Linked DNA regions of Tamandua tetradactyla. The protein of the gene in region 2 binds, or shares a complex with, the protein of the main gene of each other region. Links are inferred from orthologs where the notes say so. Each region holds a gene or a part of one and is shown on either strand. Other genes may lie near its edges.

Region 1 (7,526 bases), on a different chromosome or scaffold from region 2:
GCCAAACTTGCGTTTGATATTCAGGTAAGTCCAAACAGTCACGTTCAAGGATTTCTGTCTGGTCAGGCCCTTTCCAAAGAAAGGAGGCCAGGTTCAAGCTATTGTCTACAGTCAAAACCAAGTCATCCTTTTCCATTAAGATTGCCTTGTACTTCAGGATTCAGGAATCAGTCAGCCACCTCCCTGCCTTTTGGGATAAAACAGTCCTGACCTGATGAGGAGTGCTGACCACTAATGCCCCTCCAAAGGTTTGTTTCCTACTTTCTTCTACTAGGAGAGTGGGTGCTGCAGCAGCCTGAATGCACCTGGGCCATCTTCCGGAGACAGGTCCAAAAGTTTAGAAAGGAAGGTTTCGGGTCTCCTTTGGCCTCCCCAGGGTTGGGTTAGTAGCCCTAATGCTGTTCCTTTATCTACTGTAGCAAATAGATGGAGAGGTTTCTCGAGGGAGGGGAGAGTTAGGACAGGAGCCTTCATCAGTGCCCGTCTGAGCCCTTCTGCAGCTCCTACTCCCCCCTCCCTCCACTCTAATTTGTCAGGCTCTTCCTCTAACAGTTTTTGGTATAACCCTTTAGTTGGAGAGGCTGAAGAATCTACCTACAACCTACAGTACACCACTAATCCTAAGAACTTCCTTAGTTCCCTCTTTGTCCAGGGAAGAGGCGATCTAATTATGGCCTGAATTCTCTCTGGATTTACTTTCCTTTTTTCCCTTCACTTACGAGATGGCCTAAGTATTTAACTTCCCTTTTCACAACCTGTAGTTTTATTTTTTGATACCCTTAGTTCTTGGCCCCCCAGGAAGCTCAACAGGTCCCCTGCAGCCTGGGCAATGCCCTAGCTTTTCTTTACCCGATATTAACAGATCATTTACATACTGTAAAAGGGTAATTTCAGATGGGATAGAAAACCTTCCCAACACTTTTTCTAGTTCCTTCCCAAAGAGATTGGGGGACTCTGTGAAGCCCTGGGGTAGGACCATCCACCTATATTGCTGCCTCCTTCTAGTGAAGGGATTTTCCCATTCAAAGGCGAACAAGTCCCTACTCTCTGGGGTAAGAGGGCAGACCCAAAAGGCACCCTTCGGATCTACTACACTGAACCACTTATGATGGTAGGGAATCCATCATAGGAGCATATAAGGGTTAGGGACCACGGGGTGTCTAACCTGAACAATTTGATTGATGGCTCTCAGGTCCTGAACCACCCTCCAGCTACCAGCTGCTTTCTGGGTGGGAAGAACGGGATTACTGAAAGGGGACATTCAGTTTCCCAGAGCCCATCTCGAAGGAGACCTTCGATGACTGGATGATGTCCTTGTCTCCCCTTCAATGGGATGGGAGACTCTTTTTGACAAACCACCTCCCCTTCCTTTTACATTTTAATTTTTATAGAGGAAACGTGCAACTCCCCCACTTCCCTCCCTCACCCATACTTTTTCTTGGATGCCTTTCTTATCTTTCTCGGTAAGCAAGGCTTAAGACAACTTCTACTTGGCCATCCCTCACCTCCAGGTCCAGTCCCATGGGTATTATCAGATCTCTTCCCAATAAATTACTCCCAGCTTCTGAACAGGGAACTTATAATTTGGTTCCCTTCTCAACAGATATTAGTAGGTTTGAAAATGGGGACTTGAAACCTTTCGCCTTTTACTCCCCAAACCGTGACAGAGCTACCAGAGAATTCAATCCCCTTTGGGATGTGGTGCACGGAAGATGGAGCTGCCACAGTGTCTACCAAAAATGTAATTGCTTCTTGAATATAGACCCACCTTCAGATTTACCAAAGTCTCCTGGTGGGCTCTTGAGGCAAGGGGCCTCTGACCTCCCCAATCTTCAAAATTCATCAGGGGTCTCACCCCGACCTTCTTTCTTTAAACTCAACCACTCCCCTTTAACATGTTATCCCACAGTGATACACAGAACTGCTGTGTCCCGGGCCCTCCTCTCTCCTTTATTTCCTCTAGCTCCAACTCTCTATCTTGCCTGTGCCTGTCTCCTCCCTGCTTTATCTCTAATCTCTTCTTGACCATGTGGTCATCATGTGCTTATCATGACTTTAGCTTTCTGCTTATCTTTTGTCTTCCTATCTCACAAATACTTTCTGGGATTCTCCAGATTACTCTTCCAGTGGTTTATCCATCTATTTTCTAGATCTTTTTCTATCAGGCCAAGATCCCTTCACAGCTGACCTTTAATATTCCTCGGGCCACACGACTATTAGGGTCCATTCCTGAGTATTTCTTTGCCTGGTCTCTCAACCTTTGTAGGTAAGCAGAAGGAGTCTCATCATTTTCTTGGGCCACCTCAAAGGCCTTATTTAAGTTCTGAGATTTGGGTATTAACAACTATACCCCTTGTATAATGAGGTCTCTAAGATTTCTCATTTGTACCCTGTCTTCCTCATCATTATTATCCCAGTTGGAATCTACATTAGGGAACTGCTGCTCTGCTGCCATCATCCCTTGTCCAGGTGGGGGCTGCCTCTCTCATTTTTCCATAGATGCCCTCCTCACCTGTGCCCTTTCTTCCCCCATGAGGATGTAAATGCAGACCAGGTGTATAAGCTGGGCCCTAAAAATTGATCCAGTTGTTCACCTAGCCCTACTGGATCATCCAGTAACGATTTCATTTCTTTTCTTAAAGTTCCTCATTTCTGTACTGGTCAAGGGGACACTGACATAACCAGTTTCCCCTGGTCCAATAGGAACTTCTCTAAGAGGGAATATCGACTTATAAGGCCTATGCTACCTCACCCTTTTACCCTCAGGAGCCCTCGGAAATGGAAAATTCCATCTTTCTTACGTTGTTCCACCTCCTTCCTCAATGGTTGGTGGACTGTCACAGGTGGAACAGTTGGCCCTGATTGCCCCTCCCGCTCCCTGAGGCAGGTGGGGGTGGGGAATGCATGTTAGTCTTCTTGGGCCTTCAGGGTCCAACAGTCCCTGTCCTGGGGGAGGAGCACAGGGCAGGAAAGACTCAATAAAGGATCCCAGGCTTTAGCTTCTAAAGATTTAGCCTCTGACTCTGCTACCTTTACAGGATAAAGAGGACTCTCCCTTCCCTTTAGCCAACACTTGGCATAATCCGAGTCATCTTTCGAGAAAGGGTTCTTATTAGCATAAAGCACGAGGTTTGTACAAATCCAACCCTCATCTGCCCCGTATTTTGGCCAGAATATATCGGACAGCACAACGCTTTCTTTGGTCATAATATAACAACAATATTTAACCATTTCCTTTTTGTCCTTCCCCTTTGTTCCATAATTATCAGCCCAATATTTTAACATTCTCCCTAATGGACTGTCCAGGGGAATGTCCCCTGAACGTCTACCAGCACCCCCTCCCTTTCTTCTCCAGGTAAGCCGCCTGCCTCTATTCCCCATCCTGTGTCTTGCCAAGGTCCCTTTCTCTCATCCCTGTTTCACTTTCACCGTCTCCAGCCCCCTTTTCCTCACGGTGGTTTGGGACCCGGCACATGTTTGGGCGTCTCAGATACACACACACACACACACACACACACATACACACACACACACTCCACCTCAGACTCATCAGGATCCTTCCTGACCACCCAGGCAATACTTAACAGCCGATTTCTTACCTTGGTCCGTGCACAGAGTTGCTTGCTTACTGTGAGGCAGCCCCTCCTCTTTCTCGTTCACAGTCGGTGGCTCGAAGCATCCCGGCTGTCGGCAGCTGGCCCCCAGTGACAGAGTTTAAGACCGCTCAATCAGCGGGGTGCGCCTTCCCTTCCTCCTGGGGGTGGGTGGGTGCTCCTGCGAAGCCTGGGATCCCGGAAGGGCCCCCAAAGTTGTCAGAACGAACGCCGTACCTGAAGGAGAACAAACGCTCATCCGATTGCGGAGGAGAAGACAATTTATTCACCATCTTGCAAGAACGGGCGCCTAGAGGAACACACAAGGGGGGCTGGAGCCAAACCACAGAAGCTGAAAGTTATTCCTGTGCCGGACCCGCAGTCCCTCCCGTTTCTCGGCTGATCGGCTACCCCAGAGGTTACAGCCTATCCGGATAATCTAACTACTGTGAACTTCCCGCCGCAGGTTCCCCCTTTGTTTACGTTTTACCTTTTCAATGACCCTGGCCATTAAGGATTCGGCCTTGCGTCAGAAGCCCTCCCCTTTCCCTGCCTGCGTCACCTTTGTGAGAGCTAAGCTTAGTTTGATTCTCACAGGTTGGAGCAAATCAGAGCCTGCGAGGTGGAGGAGAGGAGTACAGGGCTGCATACTGCACCACCCACCCTCCAAACTGTCACAGCTCTTCTGGGCAGGCCTGCTTCTTACACATTACTCTCTCCAGGCTTCCAAGGCCCCCTTCCCTTTAAGCCCTGGAGAAATAACAATTACTGCCTCTTTTCACCCAGGGATCAACAGCAGCTCCCCACCCCCACCCCCGCCCCTACACACACACACACACACACACACACACACACACACCAGCCAGGACTCCAGTACTGTTCCTTGAAGATTAGCCACTCTCTTCAAATCGCTGTTTCGACTCTGCCATGTGTCCTCAAGGACCCTGACAACGGAGTCACAGTCAAGTCAGCCTGCGTCCGCTCAAAGCTCTTTCTCTTTCCACTCCCCTGCCCCAAATCGGAACCAGGCTTCAAAACCCAAGAAGCTCTCCTTCCGATTCCTTTCAGTGTCCCTGACTACCTGGTACGTAAACGTGCCGCACAAAAGACCAAGGCTAAACCCCAGCAGGCGTTTGCTGAGCAGCATGGGGCACCCCGACTCCGTCCCCGGGCGGTTGTTAGGAAAGAGAACCGCGGGGCTAGGATCTGTCTGCCAATTCTCTGGATCCATTGTCACAACTGGCCCCTCCTGCCCAAAGCGCAGCAACGCAGGGCGACAGCGTCGCGGGAGGCCAATGCTCGCCAGCCCCCACGAACTGCGCTCTCTGCCAGCAGCACCTGCAGCCACGGCTCCTCCCGGCGCACGCGCAGACGGCACCCAGGGCGGCTCCGCCCGGGGCAGCCATAGAGTACGGCGAGCGGGCAGAAAGGCCAATGCGGGCCGCTCCATCCTCCGCTTCCCGCGGCGCCTCGCTGCTCCCGGAGCGGAGACTGCCGCGTATGCAGTTTCCATGGGGACGGAAGATGGCGCCGCGAGGTGAGGTTCCGGAGGTGTGTGAGTCGCTGGCCCCCCGTCTCCCCCCACTCCGACCTCCCTTCTCTCCCAGAGCTCGACCTAAACACTCCGCTGTCAGGTGGTGAAGACATTGCTCCTCACATGTCCAAAGCGGGGTTTTGTAGCCTCACCCACCTTGAGAGCCCGAAGGTCTCGAGGTGCGGTCTCAGACACCCCCAAATCCTTGGCTGGCTTTGTTCCAGGCCGGCTCGGTTAGGAATGCGCCGCGTGACCTTGAACAGGCCAGTGTCGAATAGTGATGGGATGAGATCTTAGCGGCGCCTGTCGGCTGGGATACCCTCTGAGCTTCCTCTTGGCTTTCACCTCCGAACCCGAAAGACAGAGTTGGGTTTGGCGGTTGATTCCGAGGAGAAATGGGGAGGGAAGGAAGACCCCTCACAACCCAACAGCCTTTCCCCCCAGCAGCGACCTCGGGTTTTCCCAAGTTAGACACCGAACGGTGCAGGGAAAGGAGATTGAACTCCCCCCACACCCCCCCCCCCCCCCCCGCCCAACCCTTTTGTCTGTGTCCATCTTTTCAGGTAAACGGTTGTCCTCCACGCCCCTGGAAATCCTGTTTTTTCTGAACGGGTGGTATTATGCTACCTATTTCCTGCTGGAACTCTTCATATTTCTCTATAAAGGTAAGGCTTGGGGCTTGACTAACCGTGCTCCAATATCCCTTCCCCACTTCACCCCAGAGCCTATTTCCATTCTTTTCTGCCTCTTGTAGCTTCTCTTCACTGCAAGGCAGAAGTCTCTTCATTAGATAGTTTCCTGGAGAATAAGTAGGAAGACTCTCAGTAAGAATTTCTTGAGTTTAGGAAATGAATTAGTCTCCATTTTGACTCGCCCATCACTTTTCTTTGTTCAATTCAGTCTAAGGCCATTGGTGACCCTCAGAAACTATTTAGTGGCCTGTGTGCCTACGTTTGTCAGATCATGTGGATGTGTCCACAGGTTTTTGGAATTAAGAATAAAACCCCATAATAATGGGCCTCCCTCTAACAAACATAGTCACACTATGAGTTAACTTATCCCACAGCTGTAATAGCGTCTACATTCTCACTAACTAGTTTTTGGAAAGCTGATAAGACTCATCTCTTTCTTCCCAAGTGTGTGGGAGTCCTTGTGGGTGCTGTTATGTGTTGTTTGCAAACCATGTCTTTCTTATTGGCAGGTCTCCTATTGCCATATCCAACAGCCAACCTCATACTGGATGTGGTGATGCTTTTCCTTTATCTTGGAATTGAAGTCATTCGACTCTTTTTTGGTGAGTATTATTCAGAGAATATTTCCATTCTTTATGAGATAAGTTGGTATCTGTAACTTGATTAACAAGAAAAAGTACATAACCCAGGCTCACAATCAGATTCGATTTGTGGGATATGCCCTTACTGCTTCTGAAGTTTCAAGCTGCCTTATATTTTGGATCAAGATTTGCCTGTCTGTTGCTCTGTAAGGGCTAGTGGTGGGCAGCAGTATGGGAGCTTAGATAATTCCTTCCCAGCTGCCTAACTGCTCTAAGAGTTCCGGGTTCCTCTGAATGGTTTGCTTTGGGAGACTGGTTTTCACTGTAACTCTGAGTCCAGGCAGTAGATGCCTTCACAGATCAGCACTCAATAAGATCCCCTCTACTTCTCTGAATAAGGATCTCTTTAGGGTAAGTTTTTTTTTGTTTTTTTGTCTTTTTGTTCCTGACATTTTATTCAGCATACTGTCCTTAAGGGTCATCCACTTAGTTGTCCACCTCAGAACCATAGCTCCCCCTTCCATTCCTCAGTATTTTTACCCTTAGGCCACCTCCATCCATTGCGAATCGCCAACACTCCGCCATAAACACCAGTAAATGTCCATTTGTGTCCACACTCTCAGTTCCTCCTGTCAACGGGGTTGCAAGATCATATGGCAACCCCACCTCTTTAGGACACGTTTTTATATCCCCAGAAATACTGAGAAAGTCCCTTTTTAGTTAGAATATCCCATCTCTGAATACGATGCCAAATCACAGATTGAGAAAAAAATACTTGCAACACATAGGACAAACAAGATAAAAAAGGCTCATATAAATTATTAAGGAAAAGAATTTAATAATAAAAAGCAAACTAAAACAACAAAGTAACATTTTCACTCATAGATTGGTAAAGATTAAATTATGATACCCAGTATTAGAGAAGGTGTGGGGAACAGGTATTTTTATATACTCTAGGTGGATATGATATGTAAAATTCATATCCTTAGACCCAACAATTTCACTTTCAAAACTGATTAAAAAAATTTCCATAAATCTATGGAAATATTTTAATCTATACAGGAGTGTTTATTGCCTCATGCTCTGTAACATTAAGCGTTAGAAGCAGTATAAAGGCCCATCAATA
Region 2 (7,504 bases):
ATGTTTTACTTTTGTGATGCCTCGTTACCAATATTAAGAGAGCTTCCCCTAGATACAATGACAACTAAAACTGCAGGCTCACATGGTTGTAAATCAACAATCTGGCATGGGTTCAGCTTAGTGGTTCTTTTGCTGAACTTGCCTGGGGTCACTCACATGGCTACAGTTATTTTGTGGCTTGACTATGTAACTGAGAAATTAGGATTTAAGGGATGATTATGATTACCGAATCTATTCCTTTTTGCTTTCTGGGATATTGGAGTAGACAGGGGAATATCTAAATCACTAAAGTATAAGTCAGTTGCCCTATCTGAAATGATTGCAAAAAGCCCTTATCTTGTACCTTTGTGACTAAGAATTGTTACTTCTTTTTTTCTGGTCATTTTCTTGTAGGGCAAAGACCCTAATGCTAATGGATAATTTGTAGTCAGCCATTAACTAGCTTCAGTCCTAGATATTTGTAAATCATATTCCCTAGATTCAACTATTAAAGATAACTTGTATCCCTTTCTTTTGGCTTACACTTTTATACTTTTAGTATTGAAGTGATAGTTCTGCCTTCTCTCCTTTCAACTTCTGTTCTCCTATTGAAATAACATTGTGTCCTTTTCTGCTTTAAACTTGTTATCCAAAGTGACTGCATCTCCCCTCACTAAACTCCTTAAAAATCCTGAACCCTCTAAACTCAGGGAAACAGATCTTAGGCCTCTAGGCCATCTGCTCACCTACTACATGCCTAGAAATAAATTCTGTCTTTGAAACCCCAGTGTCTCAGGAATTGGTTACTGATTGCGTCTGGCAAACGAATCCACCACTTTTGTCTGATAACAACTATGGCTAACAATTTAAAGAGTAGAAGTCTCAGCCTGGAAGGCTAGTCTCTGCTACTCATGGCCCCATCATCTAGGAATTAGCCTGGGATTCTTTAAATGGTGATCTCAGGAAAACAACAGGGCAAGTTTCAATGCAGGAACTTTCAGGCCTCTGCTTCCTTAATGCATTGTTATTCTCAACCAAGCAATTTAAATCCAGAATCAATGTGGGGGAGGTTATAAAACTGCCAATGACAGAATTTTAAAAAATCTCCAAGGCAGCTTAATATGAGAAAAGGAGTGCTAATTCTAGTTCATGTTCAGGAGCTCAGATGTAGAATCATCTTAGTCTCTGTCCGAAAGAACAATCTGCAAAGGTAGAGTTTGGAAGGCTAAGGGGAGGGGGGTTAGTTACACTAAGTATAGAGGGAAGCATGATTCCCTGGGGGGTCACACTGTAAAAATGTAATACATCACTGTCAATTGTTTGTTTTGTGAATTTAGAGGTTTTTTTTTCTATGTTCACAAGCATACCCATACATATGCAAATAGTGTGATTGGAGAGTCGCTTGGTTTATCTGCTTACATTACAAAAATGAGATGTCACTATATATTTTATTACAGCTATGATTGGCTTTTCCGTGTCATTGGCCAGTATACAAACATTATAAATCCAAATACCTTCACCTGGCAACAAAACGCTTCAACTGAAAACACAGTAATTATATTTAAAAATACAAATCTAAAATGTTTCTCATTATGCAAGTTTCCTATGTTTTACTTAATAGTTTTGTTCTAAGTTCTCGTTTTTTTTTTTTAAATACCTTATTAGTTTTGTTCTATCTTTTAAGTTCTCGTTTTTAGAAATATGTATTATCAGGAGGTTGGATATTTCAGAACAATATTCTATATCACTGATGTCTCATTTTAAAAATTTTCCTTTTTCTTCTAATGTATTCTGAGAAAATATAACAGGATTATTCCTTTTCATGATATTTATATCTTTTAAAAATTTTATTGGTAGTACATTTCTTCTCAAGCTTTCTAGTATTTCTTAGCATAAAGCTACTTCAGCAGAAGGCAGCTCTATCAGTTGTTTTTTTTTCACCTGAGCTGTAGAGTAATTTCAGACTGCAACTAAAGACAACTTATAACCTACATCATAGATACAAACACATCTTATAATACAATTCTGGCAACAAAATTGTACTGAGTGCTCACTCTTTCCAATGATCCAACAGTTCAATTGTGTAAAAAATAAACCTGCAATAATGAATCTGGAAATATTTAGCCTATGAAGGGAAGTCCTCCCAGTTCAATGGTTCCATGGTGACTGTACCATCTTCTTTAACAACAACGTTCTATGTTCTACTTCTAAAGTTTGTAAGTTTGTTTGGCCTGCTATGACGTCTACTATCCTTTCCAGTCTTCTCATGTTGAAGGAAGACAAGTGTCTGCTTGCTGTACACACCTCTCTCCAAGAGAATGAGGCAAAAACAAAGTATTAACCATACATAGTGAATATATTTCCTGCTTTATTTTAGACACTGAAAAAGTAAGCTACCACTTATTTACATGATAAGGCAGCAAAAAGAGAACAGTAGTAACATCTAAGAAATACTGGCTGACTGCTTCAGAGAACAGAGGTAGCAATGACAAAAGACAAATCCATCTCGCAAAGAGATTTTGGTCAGATAAAACTGTTCATAAAGCCCTAGAGAAAAAAGAAGGCAGGTCTAGGCAAGTGTTTCTGAAAGAAGGTCACATTAATCCCTGCTCTTTGTGGAAACTGAATAATGCACAAAATGTGATGAAAAGTAATGGACAGTATTAGCGATTTTCCTCAGAATTACATAGTGAGATACAAAGTATCTCCAGTGTCTATTACAGTGTTCAAGCTCAAAAATAGAACAGGTTAAAGAATGAAATTTTATGCACGAGTTTGCTTTTAGTCAGGATTATTATTGAGATCTGGGTTATATTAGCTTCACCAATTATTAGGAAATCACTTAATTTCTCTGAATTTGTTTTAACTTCTGAAAAATGAGAATAAAACTTACCATAGGCCAGGCACCTTCACGTGCTGGTAATATAAATATGAATAAGAAGGTAAGGAAGGTAAGGACAAAAAAGACCAATACAGTAAAACAAAATCAGTAAAATAAATATCAAGTAATAGCTAGTTACAATGAAAGTTATGTAGAAAACAGGGTATTATGATAAAAAAGATTCTTCTTACAAAAATAAATATGCAGTAATAAGCAAAGTAAATACTAAATTTCATCCCTTCCTTTCCCTGTAAATTGTGAATTAAAAACATTGAATGTGAAGAATATTTGAAGTCCAGACGAAATAAAGTCTCAATTAGAATATGATATATTTAACATAGATAGAAAAGTTGATTCACTCAGCCCTTTACAAATACTGGTGCCCAGAGAAGTTAGAGTAGGTGTTAAGACCTTGTCCTCCAGAAAGAAAGAACCATGTTCAATTATCCTACTTAGATTTGATCAGAGTACTTAAACTCTCTAAGATGCAGTTTCTTAACTTAGCTGGAAAATGAGTACAGTATTAAGAACCCATCCCACTGGATTTTTATGAAGATTAAATGAAATAATGCACAGTATTTGGCATATAATCTTTCAGTAAAGGACTAAATTATAGTATCTACAAACCCAACACATGTCTCTAAAATTTATTTCACAAAGTTAACGTTTTTATTTTCACCTGGGCTACTTTTAATACTCAAACGAGTGGTTTGAAAAGAAATCTTTTATTTTCAAAAGGAAAATTTACTATCGTATTAATAATGAAAGAAAAGCTAAGGAAAAAAAAATGGTAACGATGAGACGCACTGGCACACACAGCTGGGAAGTCATTTTACATTTCAAGTCTACAGCTTCTTAAATTACCTAGTGCTGTATCAAGCACTAATCCCTCATACTCCAGAATCGCGGGGAGCAGAAGGATGCTCAAAACTCGCACGAATAAGTGCGGTAAATAACTGAAGAGGCCCTCCCATAGAAGGTACCCTCGGCAATCAAACAAGTGGTTTGACAAACCTAGCGGCCCTTCTCTCTCTCCAACACCCACCTCCCACCCCCAGCAGGGACCTCTTCTTTCCACTCTACCCTAGCACTTATCGAATCCTTAAATCCGCGAGAGCAATGGTAAAGCGGACAAGATCGGAGGACCACCACATCTTTTCAATTCTTCACTGGTCCCCAAACCACGCTCTGGGCTGCGCGGGCCCCACTTCACAATATGGAGATAGATTCTGATACCAAAGAAGGACAAAACTTTTTTCCTCGCAGAGGGCACCACCCTGGCGCCTCTTGCAAACGCCTGAGGAGAAGGTGGCGCTTACTAGCTCTTCAAAACAGGGCCAGGCCCTTCGGTCGCAGTGCGTGGAGCTTCCCCTCAATTCCTTTCCCTCCGCTGACCGACAGCCGAACCTCACCTGGTAGAGGTACCACAGCGATAGCCGCTTAGGGAAAGCGCAGGAAGAAGGGCCCAGCGAGTGAGGCCACTGAAGCCATAGTCATGGCCTAACTCGCTCAGGCCACCAGTGTGGACGCGTCTCAGCCCCCGTACCTCCCGCGTCTAAGTATTATCCAGGTTGCCCGGGTTCGGGCGCAGCTTCCCGCACTGCACGCTGGGAACACCCACCCTCCCTTTCCCAGCGGCTTCAGCTCCCAGCATGCACAGGACTCGGCGCAGAACTGCGCTCTGGGATTTAGAGGCCTAATTGCATGCCTTCTCCTCTTCTTTAGCACGTATAGGCGGGGAATCTAAACGTAAAGCATTAATCCACAGTCGTGAAATGTAGGCTCTGCTTGCATCCGGGGCCTTGCTCCGGAGTCTGCGGGGTGGGGAAAGGCGTCGCTTAGCAGCCACCGCCGCTACTCTGCATGGTTCCAGTTGGCCGGACCTAGACGTCGAGTGGAACGGCGCTGGGGGTGTGGTCAGAGCTCGGCGGCTGGCTTAGGCGTGGTGGGTGCGGTAGATGAGGGTTCTTCGCTGGCTACCTGTTTTGATCTAGGTGGGTTGCTCTTCCTGAGAGCTGTCGGAGTGTTGTGAAACGCGGGTTCTTTAGCCTCACAGGGCCTGTATTTAACAGCGCCGCTTCTCCGCCGCTTTTAGTCTCTCTGCAATCTTGCCTTCCGCGCTCCAGCCCTGGTTTCCCAGGCCAACTTCACTCAGTCCAAATGTTTATTTCCGCACTTTTTTTTTTTTACCCGTAGTTGCTGCTTATCCGAGTCAGTCATTTTAAGCCTTTCAAGTGTCCCCGCTCTTGGCACCATTAAATGTGCGCGCGTGTTGAGGACAGGGTTTGTCGGGAAGGGGATCCAGAATCTCAGGCCTAACCTGGATTCTTTTAGCAAGGAAGCCGTCGAATTTTATTTATTCGGTACTGTTTTTTTTTCTGACAGTTTGGGCCGACTGCTACAGTTCTTGGTTAGGCTATTTTGCCCATTTACTTCTTTTGCAATTAAGGAGCCATAACTAACACCGCAGAGAGTTATGAGTCAAGACTGTTTACCTTGGAAATGCTAATATACACTTGTTTTATTATAGAAGGTAAAGCACAGTGAAAGAATTCAAGATGCCACCTAATATAAACTGGAAAGAAATTATGAAAATTGACCCAGATGACCTGCCTCGTCAAGAAGAATTGGCAGATAATTTATTGATTTCACTATCCAAGGTGCTTAATATATACATAGAACCATGATTAAATCTTTGCTCCTGAAATCATTTTGTAGTAGAACTGGAAGCGTTCTTATAGTTTGGTTAAATAGTTGCTTTTTGTTTACATAGGTGGAAGTAAATGAACTAAAAAATGAAAATCAAGAAAATGTGATACATCTTTTCAGAGTTACTCAGTCACTAATGAAGGTTTGTATGCAGTAGATTTTATTATTAAACTATTAGAAAGCATTTAAGAATCTCTTCTTATCTGAAATAAGTAATCTCTGCCTAAGTACTTTGTAAAATCTGAATCAACACTCAAAAAGTGAGATATATTAAAATGTGGTGGGAATGTCAAAGGGTGCAACCACTGTGGAAGGCAGTTTGGCGGTTCCTCAAAAAGCTGAATATAGAATTGCCATACGACCCAGCAATACCATTGCTAGGTATCTACTCAAAGGACTTAAGGGCAAAGACACAAACGGGCATTTGCACACCAGTGTTTATAGCAGCGTTATTTACAATTGCAGAGAGATGGAAACAGCCAAAATCTCCATCAACAGAAGAGTGGCTAAACAAACTGTGGTATATACATACGATGGAATATTATGCAGCTTTAAGACAAGATAAACTTATGAACCATGTAATAACATGGATGGACCTAGAGAATATTATGCTGAGTGAATCCAGCCAAAAACTAAAGGACAAATACTGTATGGTCCCACTGATATGAACGGACATTCGAGAATAAACTTGAAATATGTCCTTGGTAACAGAGTTCAGCAGGAGTTAGAAACAGGGTAAGACAATGGGTAATTGAAGCTGAAGGGATACAGACTGTGCAACAGGACTAGATACAAAAACTCAAAAATGGACAGCACAATAATACCTAATTGTAAAGTAATCATGTTAAAATACTGAATGAAGCTGCATCTGAGCTATAGGGATTTTTTTGTTTTTGTTTGCTTGTTGGTTTGTTTGTTGTTGTTGTTTTTTACTATTACTACTACTTTTATTTCTTTTCTTTATATTAACATTTTATATCTTTTTCTGTTGTGTTGCTAGTTCCTCTAAACCGATGCAAATGTACTAAGAAACAATGATCATGCATCTATGTGATGATGTTAAGAATTACTGAGTGCATATGTAGAATGGTATGATTTCTAAATGTTGCGTTAATTTCTTTTTTTTTTTTTCTTTCCGTTAATAAAAAAATAAAAATAAAAAATAAAAAAAATAAAAAAAAATAAAAAATGTGGCTGAAGAGAGCCCTTAGTGTGCAAAGCATTGCTAGTTCCTGCTCTAAAGTTCCTAGAAGAATGTGTAGGGGAAGCAGAATGGGTTTATTTAGAAATAAATAATACGTTTTGGTATATACGGAGGTCCTAATGAATAATGCAGGCAATAACTGCTATAGTTGTAGATAAAAGGAGGAGAGATCTAAGAGGTTTGAGAAAACTTTGAAGACTTCATGCAGGATCAGGTCTGACAATAGTTTTAGATAAGTGAATGGGGAATGGTAAAATGGTAAAGAGATTCTAGAGCTGAGAAATTACCGTAATTAAAGACAAGAAATAGGAGTGTGCTTATTCTTTGCATTTAAGGAAACAGCTGCAGAAAGTGTGTAGAGAATATAGCACATTGGTGAATGGTTTGGGATAGGCTATCTTAAGACCTTATTTTATGCTAACAACAACAAGGAGCCATTAAGAGTTTTGAGTTACCATCAACAGATGTAAAAATATGCCTTAGACATGAGATCTTACTGGTTTGTATAGGGGTTATGCAATGCCCTGATATATCCCAGAATAATTTGGGCAGAGAATAAAAAAGTATTTGCAGAGTCCCCTTGAGGGACTGGAGAGAAAGGAAGAAATAATAAACTTCCCCATCTGGGGAATTCCTGATATTCTTGCAAGCAGTGGGGACAACAAATTCAGTAGGCTGAGCCCTTGATCTTGGGGTTTGCCTCTATGAAACTTTTGCCTGCAAAGGAGAAG

What was found. The genes of interacting proteins can lie anywhere in the genome.
Region 1: CEP290 (region 2) and TMEM216 share a complex: the UniProt entries of both Homo sapiens proteins name them as parts of the tectonic-like complex. The link is inferred for Tamandua tetradactyla from reciprocal best matches to the Homo sapiens genes CEP290 and TMEM216.

The regions. Positions count from the first base shown.
Region 1 is NC_135335.1:13,744,564-13,752,089, reverse strand, and holds the start of TMEM216 (transmembrane protein 216), read left to right. Parts: upstream 1-4,512; 5' UTR 4,513-5,027; coding exon 5,028-5,130; exon of another isoform or gene 5,131-5,144; intron 5,145-5,206; exon of another isoform or gene 5,207-5,569; intron 5,570-5,690; coding exon 5,691-5,792; intron 5,793-6,328; coding exon 6,329-6,421; intron 6,422-7,526. UniProt on the Homo sapiens protein: Part of the tectonic-like complex which is required for tissue-specific ciliogenesis and may regulate ciliary membrane composition.
Region 2 is NC_135333.1:157,258,692-157,266,195, reverse strand, and holds the start of CEP290 (centrosomal protein of 290 kDa), read left to right. Parts: upstream 1-4,498; 5' UTR 4,499-4,854; intron 4,855-5,390; exon of another isoform or gene 5,391-5,393; 5' UTR 5,394-5,418; coding exon 5,419-5,520; intron 5,521-5,633; coding exon 5,634-5,711; intron 5,712-7,504. UniProt on the Homo sapiens protein: Involved in early and late steps in cilia formation. Its association with CCP110 is required for inhibition of primary cilia formation by CCP110.